Linked DNA regions of Lepisosteus oculatus. The main gene of each other region encodes a partner of the protein of the gene in region 2 in a complex. Links are inferred from orthologs where the notes say so. Each region holds a gene or a part of one and is shown on either strand. Other genes may lie near its edges. The genes, in order: edn1 and ednraa.

Region 1 (7,904 bases), on a different chromosome or scaffold from region 2:
TGCATATTAGAATAAATAAAGGATCAATAAAGCAGTTAAATAAAGCATCAACCACTCTGACCGAAGCAGACAAAAGAAAAAATATTAAAGCTTTTTTATGTTTGGGTCAGATGAAAGTAGAGCATAAATATGTTAAAGAAACCTTTAGTCAATCCTTCAACAAACAAGAAATATTTTTTAAAAAGGCATTAACTATTTAAGATACTATCCACATTAAGACTTAAACCATGAGACTCTACATCCATCTCCAAACCATGATTTACTAAATAGCTGTTTCAAACTTGCATTGACCTCTTCCCAATTCACTTGCACACTTAGAATCTACTTGAAACTCAATTAGTTAAAAAATGTGGGATGAAAATTAAAGAGTACTGTACATATCGGAATCTATTCGTCTCTTGAAAGAGATCAAAAAACACATTCTGTTGTCTCATTGTTCTTGTCAATGACACAAAAAAGTGATTCTCAATGCATATATTCTATATACTGTATACCTATTTCAGAATGTTATGTGCTGTCACATTTACGGTGCATCTTAGGAGACATCTTACCCTTTTGAAGTTATGATTATGCTACAGTATGCCTTTCTTGGACACGTGTCGATTCGAGAGGTTGTAATCTCTTCTATTTCTTACCTTGTAATTTTTCTCTTGTTTGCTGCCAGATTGTATAAGCACTGCCACCCTGTGCAGTCCTGGGCTTCTGCAGAGACAGCCTGTAGTTTCACGTCTGTGCTTTGCAATCTAGAGATGAAAGTTTGTGTAATGTGAGACGAGAAATCCACAAAAACCTCACAGTGTTCCCAGTGTTGGTTGTATTGATGTTCTTTGAATTGTAGTAGCAATTCAAGTAGCACCTTAGTAACTCCTCTCATACAATTAAATCTCATTCAATACGTAAAACACAATGATTGATGCTTTAAAATCCATATATTGAATATATAGAAAATCTAAGAATTACACATACTGTATAGATTGAAGTAGATTTGTAACGTTTGTTCTAATTTCTTCTAACGTTTTTGAACACGTTCAAAAAGGATTAAAATTGGAACTTTAATTTTCGAGGGGGACAGCTTTTCTTAGCTTTAATTTAAAGGCTGGAAAAGGAGAGCACGTCTACCAGAGAAACAACTTCTGTTTTCTGGCAAATCACTTTGCTTTTAGGTTGTTTAAAAGCTGTTGATGGTGAACCCAGCTGAACAGTACAGAGTCACGATTAATACGAGAAAAAACAATATTCTCCTGTCGTTCGCAAAATAACACTATCAGTGAAAACTGAAATCAGACGTGCAATCTTTATTTAAGCATGAATACCCCCCAGTTCGAATAACAGAAATGTCACTTGCCTCTGTAGATTTTCCGATTGACAGAACGTCGCGCACGTTTTGTCTTCTTTACTGGCACATGTGCACCTTGAGTCTCCATGCGTCAGTCCGTTCGGAAAAGACCTGAGAGCGCGCTTCACTCTCGGAGCGCTTCCTAGCCCGTAGGAAACAGTGCGTCTGCAAAGACGAAGGAGTTACATTAGGTTTCTGGCAGTAAGGTTCTGGAATGCAGATTCCATGTGACCATGGCATGAACTGTAGCAACTTATTTTCCCCTGATGTGCTGTGGGTTGGTTCGTAGCGCAAGAAACACAAGAAGCAAAATGTCCTATGATAGGTTGTTACAGTAGCCTATACTGTATAAAGCGCTTGCTTGTTTAGTAATCGTTTTCTTAAGTTTCACTATCCAACGTTAGGAAATCAAAAAAGCAAGTCAAAATGATGGATTAAATATTCGATCCTACTCGTTATTCTCCTTTCACAGAATGCTTAACTTCACTTCCACCTGCTTTCATATAAGATCGAAATACCTCTGCAGTTATTTATATAATATATAAGTAGAGAGAGATTATTTAGGCAGGTTCTTACTCTGGTGTGTTGATCCAAATAATGTCAAGGTGACAGAAGTAGACGCATTCCTTGTCCAGAAATGTGGAACATGAGCACCTTTTCGTTCTGATGTGCCGCCAAGGTGCGCTCGAGACTGAGGATGTTTCTTGGCTTAAAGACATGGACACTGCAAAGACAACAACAATAAAAGGTTATATTTATACATATACGGGTTACACATAAATAAGTACTGACCGTAGACGAACAAAATACGTTGTTGTTGGGGGTACTGGGACATTTGCTTTTCCTCATAAAAATTACTTGCGATTTGGTTAATTGCGCATTTGTGTCCCAGTATGGAATTTTGTCCAGTTGTCGAATAATGGCCATTTTTGTGTCAAAACGTATTGTATCGTCGCATTGCAGTTTTAAACAAAGTGTGCCCAATACACGAATGAAAATGAGACTGTCAGTTGTCATTGTGGTCCTCCCCAAAAAGCATTTCGAACGGTATATACTCTATATCTGTTATATGCACTTTTGTTTGTTACGGTACTTTAATTTGAATACATGAAGTAAAAAAAAATGCAATTCATCTCATTTAATTTCTGATCACAAATCGCATGTTTGCAATCTTTATTTTCTATAAAGATTAAAGTCCAAGATTAATGGTGTTTAAGAAACAGCGCCTATATACTGTATAGCTATAGACCTGACAGTTGTGAAAAAAGGCATAAACACCTAAGCGTTCAACTTACCTGTCTGAAGAAGTCCAGAATATAATAAAGACATCATTGAGAAAAGTATGTGTAATTCCATTTTTAATATTTATATAGAATAACTTTCCTCCGAATAAGTATTCCTTGCAATAATTGAATGTCGAATACCAGCAAGATGGAATTAAAGATGCTTCTGCACAGCAAGATCAATCTTTCAAAAGCGCGAGTGTATTCCAGTCGGAGTCTTGAGAGAATAATTCTGCTTTTAAGAGCGCTTCTCCTTTTTATACATGTGTATATATACACCCCCCGCGCCGCTGCTTTCCTCCTCCTTCAGACGTGTGTAAACAGCTTTGTCTTGCGTCTCATTAAGAGACAATGCTATTTGTTATTAGTCACCAACAAGCAACGTGCAGGCTGAGATAAGAAAAAAAGTATTTCGAGGACTTCAGAGGGATGGAGACGCCGAGCGGCAGTTTGAGGCGAAGCTCTTGCCAAGATTTCGGTGCTGCGCTTGCACATGCTTAACAGCAGAGGGCGTGCAACTGAAACATCAGCTACCATTTGTTTCGGTAGTTTTGGTCTGCCGAAGCTTGTAAATGACCTTGATGATCATGTCCGACGAGCACAAACAGCTGTAGGGAAATCACTGTATAATATTCAAAGCTGTTTTTTTATTTAATGCCTTTAAGTTACCTGTATTTTATAAATAATACGTGGGCACTCGTCCGTATAATTGAATTCAGAGTTACGATATAGTCTTGTTAAACGGGCTTAGGCGATAAAACGAAGACGTGTTTGATGGAAGGTTCTTAACTCCTGTATAGGTAGACGGACTTGACGCGCAACAAGACAATTGTTCAAAATGTTTTGACTCGTGACAGAAGTTTACAACAGAAGTTTCGAATCTTTCTACACGATTTCTACTCATGATACAAAACAGAAAATATGCTGTGGTCCTGACTGTTCTCATTCGACTGAGGAGTATTTGTCAGTATTCATCAGAGATTTTGTGCTCTGAAAAGACTTGACAGCATCATCGAATTCCCTGTAGGTTTTTTTAGCTAACGAAAAATAGTTTAATAATTGTATCAAAAGAAGAATCTGTTTTGCTTACCAATATATAATTCATTATGAGTTTATTTTTTCAAAACACATCATGTTATGTTTGAAGTGTCGTTATATATGTAAAAATACACTGTGTAGTGAAATACAACGTTTGTAGAAAACCTAACATGTAAACGTTACAAACTAATCCCTTCTACCCAAACGTTACTTTCCAATATTAAAAGAAAGCTATGGGGTGTAAAAGGGGTACATTTTCGCCTTTTCATTTAAATTTTGTACCGTTTCTGATTACTGTATCAATAACTAAAAATGATCCCATTCGCTCTCTGTGCCACTGAATTTTCGACGGAATAATCGGCGACAGTATTATAAATAAATCAATAATGACATTTCAGTCTTTAGCAATAAATGAAGCATAATGATAGTCCGTCGATGAAAAGCTTTACCGCTCTTGATATTTACTATTCCCCTTTAAAAACAAATCTTTTACCTAACACCTATACGTACAGTTATTCATTGCACTTTATCACCACAAGGAGGCGTCATAATCCACATTATACTGGCTAATGGAAGGCCCGACTCAGGGTGGCACTGCCGCACTGAGAATCGGAATCTCACTGAATATTTAATATCAATTAAGAAATCCATGCATTCCGAACTGTTACATTTAAAAAAAAATGTTTTGATGATTTAATATGTGAGGTGAATGTTTTCGTAACCATATTTATTAACCATATTTTCTGCGTCTTTACAATATCATCGCAAAAGGACCAAGGATTTATTTACCATTAACTGAAAGATCTAAATTAGAACTATGCAACAAATGAATTATATCCTTCGACCACAAAAAAGGGAAACAATTATTTGCATTATACCAGAAGCAGGAAAGATCTGAACGAATGACTACGATGTGTATTGTTCAGTGCACTGCTGGACCTTGGTTAATTTAGACATGGCAAGTTTGAAGCAATTTCATTTTTATTAGAGTGAAACAGAGACTGAACGGGTGTTATCACTTATGCAACATTTACAACACCAGGTGTTCTTGGACAGGATCATACAAAAGTATAGTTTCCTTTGCTGCGGAATAAAAAGGTTAAGGAAAGCAGACAGAATGAGCTAATCATTATAAAAGACTACTGTGACTACAGTGAATTCATTTGTCTAAACACTTTAACCCAACAGGCTGTCAAACAAAGGTCAATACCCATTCACTTCAGTCAGAAAGCACTGCAGTTAATTGCTGTTTTATTAGTATCCAGACTGTCTGGTTTCTATAAGTAATACATATCGCAGAATGCGTCGAAAAATATGAGTAATTCAATCAGCCATCGATTTATAAATTATATTGTCTGTGCAGCAATAGTTTCTTTCAATTCGTGAAATGTGGTAGAAACATATAATATTTAACCTTTGCCCTTTTCAATTACATTCACTGTCAAAGAAGCCCTGTAATGCCACAGAACCACAAAAAGGGGTACGTGTTTTTATTATTTTATTGATGAAGTAAAATAGTAAAAGTAATTTGTTTACATATTAAACGGACCTTTAAGATGATAGATGTGCTTGGAGGGGTGACCTCAGGTATTTGACCATGTCTTCAGCCAGCGGTAATCTATACGTCACATCCTCAGGCCCGTGAGCAAGCAGGTGAGTCCGACCGGAGCGCTGGATTCCGGGACCCACAGCGCGGCTCGCTTGCCCTTTGTGAGCGACGATGAACAGCAGTGTGTCCTCAAAGCACAGAGTGTCCTCCTTCAGAGCACAAAACGACCAAAATGTTTTTGATAAGTTTCACTTATTATTATTAAGTTTCACTTTTAGCAGCATCTCTAAAATCAAGTGTACGCGAATGAATTTAAAAATCCGCAAAATTGTTTCTTTGGTGTCTGTTTTTACACTGTTATTGGACATTAAGGACCAACATAATGTTCATATACAGTATGCGTCTACTGCACAGATATCCATGGGTGTTTTTTAGGCAAAATTAAGTGTGTCTTACACCTCTGGAGGTAAAAGTTCCGTACCATCAACTTTAAATTCATAGCAATCTGGATTCGTACTGAATTTCACCCACCCTGACGTGTGCTCAAGTTTCTACAGCCAGGACTCGGTTAGAAACTGTCCATTCGATTATCATGTTCTATACATGTTCTGTACATTCGGTTTCAAGCAGAATAGCTCGTTTTGATGATTTTTCAATGCGACATAAACGTTAGAATGAAATATGCCTGGACGAAATCGTAATTTCCTCCCACCTGCTGATTGCAATTTACATATTGGGTAAATTTTCCCAAGACTACATACAGAAAAGAACTCAAAACCAAATTGTACAGAAAAGTAGGCAAAACACTAAATTTACCAAAATCCAGACTTGCACAGCATCGCACCTACAGTACAGCTTCATCATTAGGTGCAACAGCTGGACATCTTTTGTAACATAAATATATTAGTTTCTGACAAATTGTGGGCAGGTTTTCAGTATTTACTCTTTTAAATCGTCCTGAATCAAAATTTGTTTATGCTGCACTATGGATAGTAGTGAAAAAAAAAAACTGCTGATAGATATATACAAGGAAAGTTTACCGTTTAAGTGATTTGACGCTCAAGAACATGGAATTGTTTGCTGAATTATTTTTTTTTAACTTACAGAGTATTTGAGGCACCCTTCTCTTAGCTCCTGTAGTCCCGTAGTAATATCCTGACCACTTAGACACTGCAGCATGGGCACACACTTCCTTCCCAGCAAAGAAAGCCATTCTTCCTACAATGCGATAATATTGGGAATTAACCCCAAACCAAATTGTCACGACAACCAGGCAGTCAAAGACAAAGCGTAAGCGAGCTAATCAGACCCAGCAGCGGGTGATTATCAACAAACGCCGCCGCACGAGTTAAACCACCTGCGCACACTCATTGCGGTGCGCACTGTTATTTAAACCATCTGCACCTGCTTCCCACTGCTCGGTATTGAGTCTACTCCTTGAGAGCTCTACCTGGCGTTTTTCCCCGTACCTCGTTTATTCCGGTTTTTGGATTCCCCTTCTGCCTTTTCGACTTTGCTCCTCGCCTCTCGACTCGGACTGTCTGCTACCGGTGAACTTCCTGGATTACGACTTGCCTTTCGCCTTTTGACTACGACCTTGCCTCTCGTTCTGGTTTGTTCGCCTGCCTCATCTATCACCCGTGCCTGCGTCTGCACAGGATCCGTGTATCTTCTCACCAGGGATTCCTAACACAAATATTGTCAGTATTAGATCCCATTCAGATAATACTTTTCACCTCAAGCTCTGTATGGCAATACATAATACATACAAATCTAAAAATCATTAAAATGGTCACAGACTAGCTATTTTGACTGTAGCTTAAAGATGTATGGATCCATCCAGCCATTTCTTGATAGAAGCCAGGGTATTAGCTGCAGCAGCACATCTGAATAGCTTGTTCCAGACTCCCACAACCCTTTTTTGTTAAGAAGTGCTTCCCGTTCTCAGTTTTAAATTCACATTCATGTAGTTTCCACTTGTGATCTTAGGATTAAGCTTTCCTCTTGATTTTGTAGTGCACTGGGACTTCAGACATCTTATGTTTTTGTGCTTGAAATGCGCAGCAATTTGGAAAGCTTACCTTAAATCTGTCTAGGCCTTCTAGTCCCATTAAAATAACAGAGAAATAATCAAACTAATATTAAGCAACATACAACAATTCCAAAAGGAGCTGAAACAGGACAAGAGGGAATTCTGATTCACTAATACCACATCTGGCCAAAATCCAAGGAATGACAGGTCAGACGAATAGGCTCTCTGAGTGACAGGCAATGTATGACTTGAGGGACATAAGAAAGACTTCCATCACCTTCCCTTACCAGAACCAGCTCAAGATCTCAATCCAGTTGAGAACTAGTAAAATCAATTGAAGTTCAAGTCCTTACATCATCATCTGAAGGTCATTCTTCTATAAAGGTGGGATGGGCTGCAAATATTTCAAAACCTTGTAGGACATATGCATGTGCTTTTACAGCTGTCCCTGAAGCTCACAGGAGCCTAACATATCAGTAGTTAAGCCTTCCAGATATTTTAACTTTCCTGTAATGGGAAATGCCCAATGTCCTGAAAACTGATTCCCCCATAATGGAATGATGGTCAGATTGCACGTTCCATAATGACGTTTGAAAGACAAATCTCACTTGTAAACAGAAAGATAAGAGAATAGTGGGGAAAGTATTTTGTCTTTTGAGTAATTGG
Region 2 (7,896 bases):
AATGAAAGAAATTCAGCAGCAAAGTCATCTCTTACCTTCATCAGTTTTAGTTAAGAATAGCATATAATGGAGCTGCAGTCAGAGATAAAAAATGGAAATACATGATGCATTTAATTAGTTTACTATATTTAAATCATTATGGTCCCATTATCATCCTTAATATTACACTGAAACATTAGATTTTTTGTACTGAGGTCCTGAAATGAGGGTGTAGCGACAGCAGCTGAACATTGATTCAGGAAAAATTGCAAATGAAAAAAGTGCACACATTTGAGATCTTTTAAAGGGGAACATGAGTTCTTCCATTTTCTTTTTTTAAAGCCAGCCATCAAAATTTTGTTTACTGTAAATAAAGTTTACCTTGTATACCCTGAATTTGTTTACAGGTTAATTGATGTCTCTAAATTATCCCTGTGTGCTTAAGTGTGTGTCCTGCGATGGATAGGTGCTCCTTTTTGGGTTGTGCCCTATGGGTTTTCATGACCATTACCAGGTATAAGCCTCCTTCTGATAAAGGAACAATTTATCTGTGATAAATTTCACAATATGGAAAAATTCAAACTTAAAACACCCCTCTGGGATAGATTGATATTACAGTCAACCTGCCACTAGAGACTAATTTAGATTAATATTTGTAAATAGCCACAGTGTGGATTAATTAGTTAATTAGATACTGTAATTGGTGAAGGTTTAATAGACAGATTCTCAAATGTCTGTGATTAGTTATGTTGCTACTATATTTAAAGTGCTTCATGGTGGTAGTTGTTTTATTTTATTTTTGCACAGCCAGTGTTTTGTTTGTGTTATAAATTTACTACAATCAAAACTTCTAATACTTGTATTCCTTCATGAATTTGCATGTGTTCATGTCCTGCTAGGGGCTTTATTCAGGCGGTGCTTGTCACTCTTCATGCCCTGAAAACATAGTTAAGTGTGATGCTTTTGAAACAATGCAGTTTTATTGCATGAGGTATGTTAATAGTACAATTAATTTAGCAGCCATGTTAAATGTCAGCACATATTCTCAGTGGGAGCTAAAAGAATTACATATGGATTTAACAATATTTCTGTTTGGGATATGCTAATCATGCAAACATGTCTTTTTTCATGTCTTTAGCAATTGGCTAAAAGCCATTTAATAATTATAATTTATACAGAAAATCATAATATCAAATTTTGTTAACTGAGTTTTGGATCAAGGGTCTTGTATAAGACAGAAATCTGGAATAAGCAGTAGGCAATTGAATTGAAAGTCCAGTTTCATTGTTGATTACCTGCCCTAAGCAGTTCTGTTACTTCATCACAGTTAAATTGTGCGCGTCATTCAAAATTGGTCAAATTTATTTATGTCATCAATCAATTAATTTTGTTACCATGATTTAATGCAGCAGTCTGAGAAATTGGGACTACAGTTCCCTTTTAAGAGGAATTACACTGCTAATTGTTTTGTTTGATTCCTAGTACTCTGTTAATTTTGTTTTTAATTTCTAAAGTCTCATGGTGAATTCAAATGAATCTCTCCAATGGTAAGAACAAGAACAAGTAAGAAAATGTCCAGTTAAATTGGCTTATGTTTGATATTACATTTTAAGCCTTGTTTATTTCTCCTCAGTCAGACTTAGAAATACTTTTATTTTTCCACTGTCTTAGTCCAAATGCAAGCCAACTTGCTCAAGTCCAAGTGCGAATAACAAATTCAGGAATTAATAAAACTTAAAGGGGCAGCTGTTCATTACAAACCTAACTACCAAGAAGCACAGCCTTTAGTATTCAGGCATTCTTCCATTAAACTTAAATTCAAATTCTGTGTTCATTTGATCTACACTGATACCAATGTAAACCAAGATAGGAAGTCTTTATCGTGTAACCAGTAGCTACCCAGCAATAAGCTGTAAGTGAACCTGAAAAAATATTCAAAATAACAAACCAAACTTCTACAGTTTACATTATATTCTCCCTGAGGACATTAAAGTTGTGTATGAAAATTGTATGCCTATTAGCAGGAATGAAAGCTGGAAACACATTTCAGTATCAGACTGGTATCAGTTAGTTCTTGTAGCCTTCAGAATTTGGAAAAGAACAGCAGTAAAAACAAATGCCATTAAATATATTTCGGGGAGATGAGATTAGGGTTGAAGAAAAAATGGTATTAGAACAAATTTAAGTTACATCTATGGAACCCCTTTATCGGGTGCTGTACTGTGTTGTAAGAAAGATTTTTTTTAAACAAAAAATTCCAACCAGTGAAATTACTTTGTTGAAACTTTGATGCACTTTTTTTTAACACTATGAAATGAAATCATCCAAAAAGAGCAAAATACAACAAGTCTGTTAGAGTATAAGCCAGAAAAACTCAAGAGGATGCAGTGCACTTAAATATGTTCAATCCACTTGAACATATAAAGAATATAAGGGAAGTGGTGTAAAAGGAGAATGGAGTAATTGTATGAATTCTTGGTGTAACCTGTTGTAAATTTTAGTTGCATAACGTGTTTCAGAAGAACCATAATTAATTTCAAACATTCTTTTGTATTCTTATACAATGTAGGCATAAAACAGTGTTTTATTCCTGCACTGTTTTTTTTATAAATTTAAATACAAAATATGGTACAAAGTGATGCTTTAAATAGGGGCACTTGTGTTGGTAAATTGCAGTTTGGCTTTCCTGTGATTAATTTTTAAGGTTTCCTGTTTCAGAAAAAAAAACTGCTTAAAAGCACAATTCTTTTAAAAGAGAAGTTTTAAAATAGACAGTTACATTTAAAATAAAACAATTAGATACTTAAATAAGCAAGAAAGCTACTTTGCAGAATCTCACCAAGCAAGGTTATAATATTAAATTGTAATGAAAGAAAATAAAGTTGCTTCTGAATGAAGGGTCACTTACCACAGAGTACTCTACGTCTGTCTCTGGATAGAGGCTGTCACACATGATAAATGATGGGAGGTGGTTTGTCTCTTAGCTGCTACGTGACTCAGTGAGTGATCCAAAGAGAACCAGAAGGCCACAGCTTGGGAAAATACACAGGAAGAGGCCAGACATGCAGTACACTGACTCACGGGCCAGCTCCTTTTGCCATAGTGCGTACATATGAAACAGCATTTTCGGAGGGGGCTTTCTGAAGCAGGGGGACTGTTTATTATACATTAGTGCACATAGTGTGAAACCTTTGGTCTCCATTTTTTTAAGACTGTGTTTGCTTAATAATGACCAATAATTTACATGTTGTATATCCATGGGAACCAATTTTAAGAGGAGATGGAAGATATTCTAAGGTTGGCCTTTTTATATACAGTTCATTGACAGTTAATGTTTTTAAACATAGCCAATACGAGTGAAAATCAAAAGATATAAAAGGATTTGGAATTCACTGTATGAGTTTTTTAATGCATTTTGGTTATAACCCCATTTATTGCTTCTCGAGACAAGTCTGTTAACACATACTAGATGTGGCATGGAGTTTGCTTTTCATCAGAGATGGAGGATGGACAGTGGGTTAGAACACCACCAAGATTACTGTTACTAAGAAATGACTGATGGGGGCAGTCTGTTGTTGTTTTTTCCATCAGTCTCAATCTTTTGTTTACTATAGTGCTCTTTGCAACAATTTCGCACTTTACAGAGTTTCATAACATTTTTAAAATCTAGCAACAATGGGCATGGGCAAAGGATAAACACAATTTCCCAATTGGAAAAAAAAAGGTTTTGGGGGTTAAAGAATCTATGGTTGCCCCCTGTCTAAAGTGTTCATAATTTGTGACTGGAGACTCCGTTTCCAGATCACCTGACACTCCTGAGGTATCCAGATGAACACATACACACACATACGCAAACACTTCACTATCTAAACAAAGGCGATAACGCTGGTTTCCAACGTAAACAGACTAGTCTGGAATTCGGGGGATAGCTTTGCTTGCTCTGTGAGTGCACACACAGAGGAAAGTAAGGTTTTTCCCGTATTATCAAAATTAAACATTAACCCAAACACCTGTTTTCCTTTGTTTTAGAAGTGAAATGAACCAAATTGGCGATCAACTCACGGGTTTCAAATAAATAAGTTGTTTGGATTTCTCACCGGGAAAATGGTTTCTCCCACAACCTTTAGGACCCAATTCTTGCCATGGCAACAACGGCTGGCTTAGTAGTGCCTGTTTCAGGCTTGGGCTTGGGTTGATTGATTTGTAAGAAGATACCATTAAGAGGGAGTAGTGTTTTCTTAAACAATATTTATGGACATAAAAGGAGTATGATATTATAGTTTTGTTAATAACATGTTCATTCTTTAGTTGTATATTTAATGAAGAAATGTGTATATCAGAATTCTGAGTATTATTTTGTAAAATTATTTTTGCTTTATAGTGGAATATTCTAGGGGGAGGAGTTTAACCTAGAAAAGGTGCTCTTCCTGGGGGAGGGGGAGTGATAGGAGAAGATTTTGTAGTGGGTTGGTATAGGAGCTGCTTACAACAATCTATTTGTACAGCGATTATTATTATTGTTATTATTGTTGTTGTTTTATTATTATACTATTAGCTTTGTGTTGTTTTTTTTCCTGGTTAGTTTGTGTTTTTCACTTTGTTTTTTGGGTGTGGACTTTGGGTACACAGTTCCTCCTCATAAACGTTTTTGCAATTGGGGCTGTGCCATCGTTATTGTTACATTCTATCTAAGCCTCTAAACTCTTCAAGGAGGAGACTGTGACATAATTAATATGATTGATTGTAGCTAAATGATTGTGATTGAAGTAGCTAAAGTTGCCTGCGTTGCCCATCTTAGGTCTAGTTTTCCAGGTTTTAATGTCACAGGAAGGACAGTGGGGAAAAATAAAAATGGGAAAGATTGTTAGAAAAACTGAGTGGAAAATCATAGTTTAGGGTTTCCATGTACTCTGGTGCTAAATGAATTATTTCTGATTCTAATGAAACAACGAATTTCTGCATTTCATTTCCTTAATGGTTTATGAATCATCCTGCAGTGAAAAAGATTGTTAACATAAAAGGATACACCAGGGAAGGAGTTTATAAACCCATTTTACACATTTAAGCGAACAGTAACATTATTTTTTTGCAGAAATAGGTTTTGAAATTTGAAAAAAAAATTAACCTTTTCTACAGTTTACTCCATACTATTTAACTGTTTCCTTTTTATTTGAAAAAAATCCTACTACATTTACACATTGAAAAAGGTTATCACAACAACTCAAGGTAAACTACAAAAATGTAAACAGCTGGATAAATGAGTGACAGCATGCTAATTGGCTTCTGGAAAAACTGGCCCTGGTGTGGGTATGATTGAGTCTGTGTGTCTGCCCACAGCGTCCCAAGCAGGGTGTAACCCGCCTACTGCCCTCTGCTTGGCAGGATAGGCTCCGAGTCCCCTGCGACCACGGATAGGATGAAGCAGCTAGAAAATGAATGGAATATTTTCTATCTAGCTTTCATTTTGAAGCTTTCAAAATTAATGTCTTAATGCTAAGCCATTTAGCTTGAACAGGATGTGACATTACTAAATAGCATAAAATATTTTTCTCAAAATATTGCACCTAGTGTTTTTTTATACCCGAGCTTTCATTTTTCTATGTGTTTGCATTGTTACATAAAAATAAGTCTAGACCATACTCTACGGCACTTTGTTTAAACACAGACCTTGAAAAATAAACAAAATGTGCTTTTAATATTTCTTATCTTCTAGTTGAAAAAGATAGCCCTCCTGGACAGCTGTTTTGGAAGTTTTCTGCATTCAAAAGTATTCATCATCTCTCAGTAATGGATGATTTTTCATAAAGTTTTAAAAACTAATGGGGAAGTGTAAATGACAGAAACATCTTTCCAATATTCCTCATCTGTCTACATGAACTGCTACTCTCATGTGGCTTAGAGAATTTTTTTTTGCTAAAAAAAGGGAACATTTTTCCTCTGTGTATTGTTCAAAGAAACTCCATCAGGTTTGTCTTTCACTGAGTCAATTGTGTGGCTACATGGGAAATTGTAACATAATATTATCAGGGGGATTATCAGGAAGAAGGTCTTTAAGTTCAGTCATTTCAGCAGTAGAAATTCATATATTATGTGACTTAATGTTACAGAATGAAGTGTACATATTAAAAATGTATGAAATAGTAATTTAGAATATTAAGAATGGTCTTCAGAACAAAATTGAACACTGCCTACAATCAACTTCCTAACTGCCTAACTTGTAAATGTACTAGTAGCGTGCATTGGAACAGCTGTTACACAATCAAATGCAGGATTTTCATCTTAATACTCACTTGCCAAAAGTACAATAACCCAGTTGCAAATCCATCCATCCATTATCAGAAAGTTGGTTATTTATGGTGGGGGTTGTAGCAACGTGGAGCCTATCCAGGTACCTAAAGCACATCTGGAGAGCCCTGTCCATCACAGGGTGCACGTACACTCGATCCCTAAGTGCAAAAGGGAATCGGCAAGTACTTTTCTGATTGCGTATTTCATAAAGTATTAAAATAAAATATAAAATAAAGTATTTCATTTTCTTTATTGCGGTAAACAGTATACTGTAGCATATGACGTCCCAGGTTTACAACTTTACCATGAAGGACCCTTCCAAGATTACAATCTTTCTAATAAAGATATAGTCTCTTCTTGGGGCTTCAGTGAAGCACATGGGATGTAGAAGCATGCCCTTGACTTGTGTGGGTAAAGCACTTCTGTTCAACTAGGAGACCACCTAGGGTTGTCTCCACACATCCTCGTTGCAGCTCAGAGCAAACTCCAGACAGATTCCTATGTACCCATCCTCCAGTGCCTACATCACAGCACTGTTTTTCTAAGGCTGATTCCCAGTGAAGACACACAGTCACATGAATTACATCCAACAAAAACAACAACCCTTTGACCTGTAGGAATAGTCTGCCTGGTTTCCAAACCCTTAGAAGAAATATGTTTGCTTTTATCCCCTATAAAAGCATCCCCTGAGGCAAGCCATGATTTAATCTCATTAAGATTCATAATGATTTGTTACGAAGGTTGCTGTATATCTCTTTTTTGAAACTCAAGATTGTAGCCACCCAACACTGTGTACCTTGCCTTTATAAAGCTGTTGTTAATGTCCCTTTCACTTGTTTGATCTTCTAATTAAGGGAAACTTCCACCACATCTGTTTTTGCTGTAGGAGGAATGTTCAGTCTTCCATGTCATTGTTTGTATGTTCTAGGTTTAAAATACTGAGATCCATTAAGAACACAACAAATGCTACTGGTTCCAGTATTTATCATTTTTGTTTTCTTTCATACCTAGTACATATTGAATTGTACTAGGGCATTTTTATGATAGATTTTAACATTTGCTCAATGCTTTGTTTTTTCTATAATATATAAATATTATATATAACAATTGTTTTTCTCTCTTTAGACACATATTTGCACATATTTTATATATACACATATTTATATTCTAATACATTAGTCATCTTTCATGCCACAGGGTTTAAAGGTATATGCTATATACAGAATGTATACATACATATTTACTTTATACTTAAATTACTTATTTTTTTCTGAACATCAAATTAGTTTGTAAACCAAAGTCAGTCACGAAGCTGCATGGTTTAGATAAATCTACCAGAGTACTGGTCTTTCTAACCCAAAAAATATTATACATTTTGATAAGATTTTCCTTCTTCCAGCTTTGAAATTATCTGCTTTTTAGTTACAGTGATTGATTTGTTCAAATTAACAGGTCAGTTGTGTTCTTTCTTATCTGTGTATTGCCTGTGTTTTGCATTTATCCATTTAAGTAATATATCTTTATCTGTTGTTTTCACTGTTGTTTTAACAATAAATCTGGTGAACATTGTCACAAGAGTGTTACACAATGCATCTTTTTGAAAAAAAACCATGATAAATAAAATTACAG

The links.
Region 1: the proteins of ednraa (region 2) and edn1 are in contact, whole or in part, in a cryo-EM structure (PDB 8HCQ), measured with the Homo sapiens proteins. The link is inferred for Lepisosteus oculatus from reciprocal best matches to the Homo sapiens genes EDNRA and EDN1. Residues at the interface, in NP_001948.1 of Homo sapiens: Tyr68, Gln72, Thr73, Lys74, Tyr129, Asp133, Ile136, Asn137, Lys140, Leu141, Gly144, Arg145, Trp146, Gln165, Lys166, Val169, Glu220, Phe224, Val227, Phe229, Tyr231, His236, Lys237, Thr238, Cys239, Met240, Leu241, Asn242, Gln252, Lys255; in NP_001403492.1 of Homo sapiens: Cys53, Ser54, Leu58, Asp60, Lys61, Glu62, Cys63, Val64, Tyr65, Phe66, Cys67, His68, Leu69, Asp70, Ile71, Ile72, Trp73.

Annotation. Positions count from the first base shown.
Region 1 is NC_090705.1:17,403,937-17,411,840, forward strand, and holds the start of edn1 (endothelin-1), read right to left. Parts: upstream 3,116-7,904; 5' UTR 2,693-3,115; coding exon 2,632-2,692; intron 2,061-2,631; coding exon 1,913-2,060; intron 1,502-1,912; coding exon 1,346-1,501; intron 744-1,345; coding exon 636-743; intron 1-635. Other genes in the region: uncharacterized protein, read right to left, coding at 5,209-5,415, 6,311-6,424. UniProt on the Homo sapiens protein: Endothelins are endothelium-derived vasoconstrictor peptides. Probable ligand for G-protein coupled receptors EDNRA and EDNRB which activates PTK2B, BCAR1, BCAR3 and, GTPases RAP1 and RHOA cascade in glomerular mesangial cells.
Region 2 is NC_090696.1:26,606,677-26,614,572, forward strand, and holds the start of ednraa (endothelin receptor type Aa), read right to left. Parts: upstream 3,024-7,896; 5' UTR 2,888-3,023; intron 1-2,887. UniProt on the Homo sapiens protein: Receptor for endothelin-1. Mediates its action by association with G proteins that activate a phosphatidylinositol-calcium second messenger system. The rank order of binding affinities for ET-A is: ET1 > ET2 >> ET3.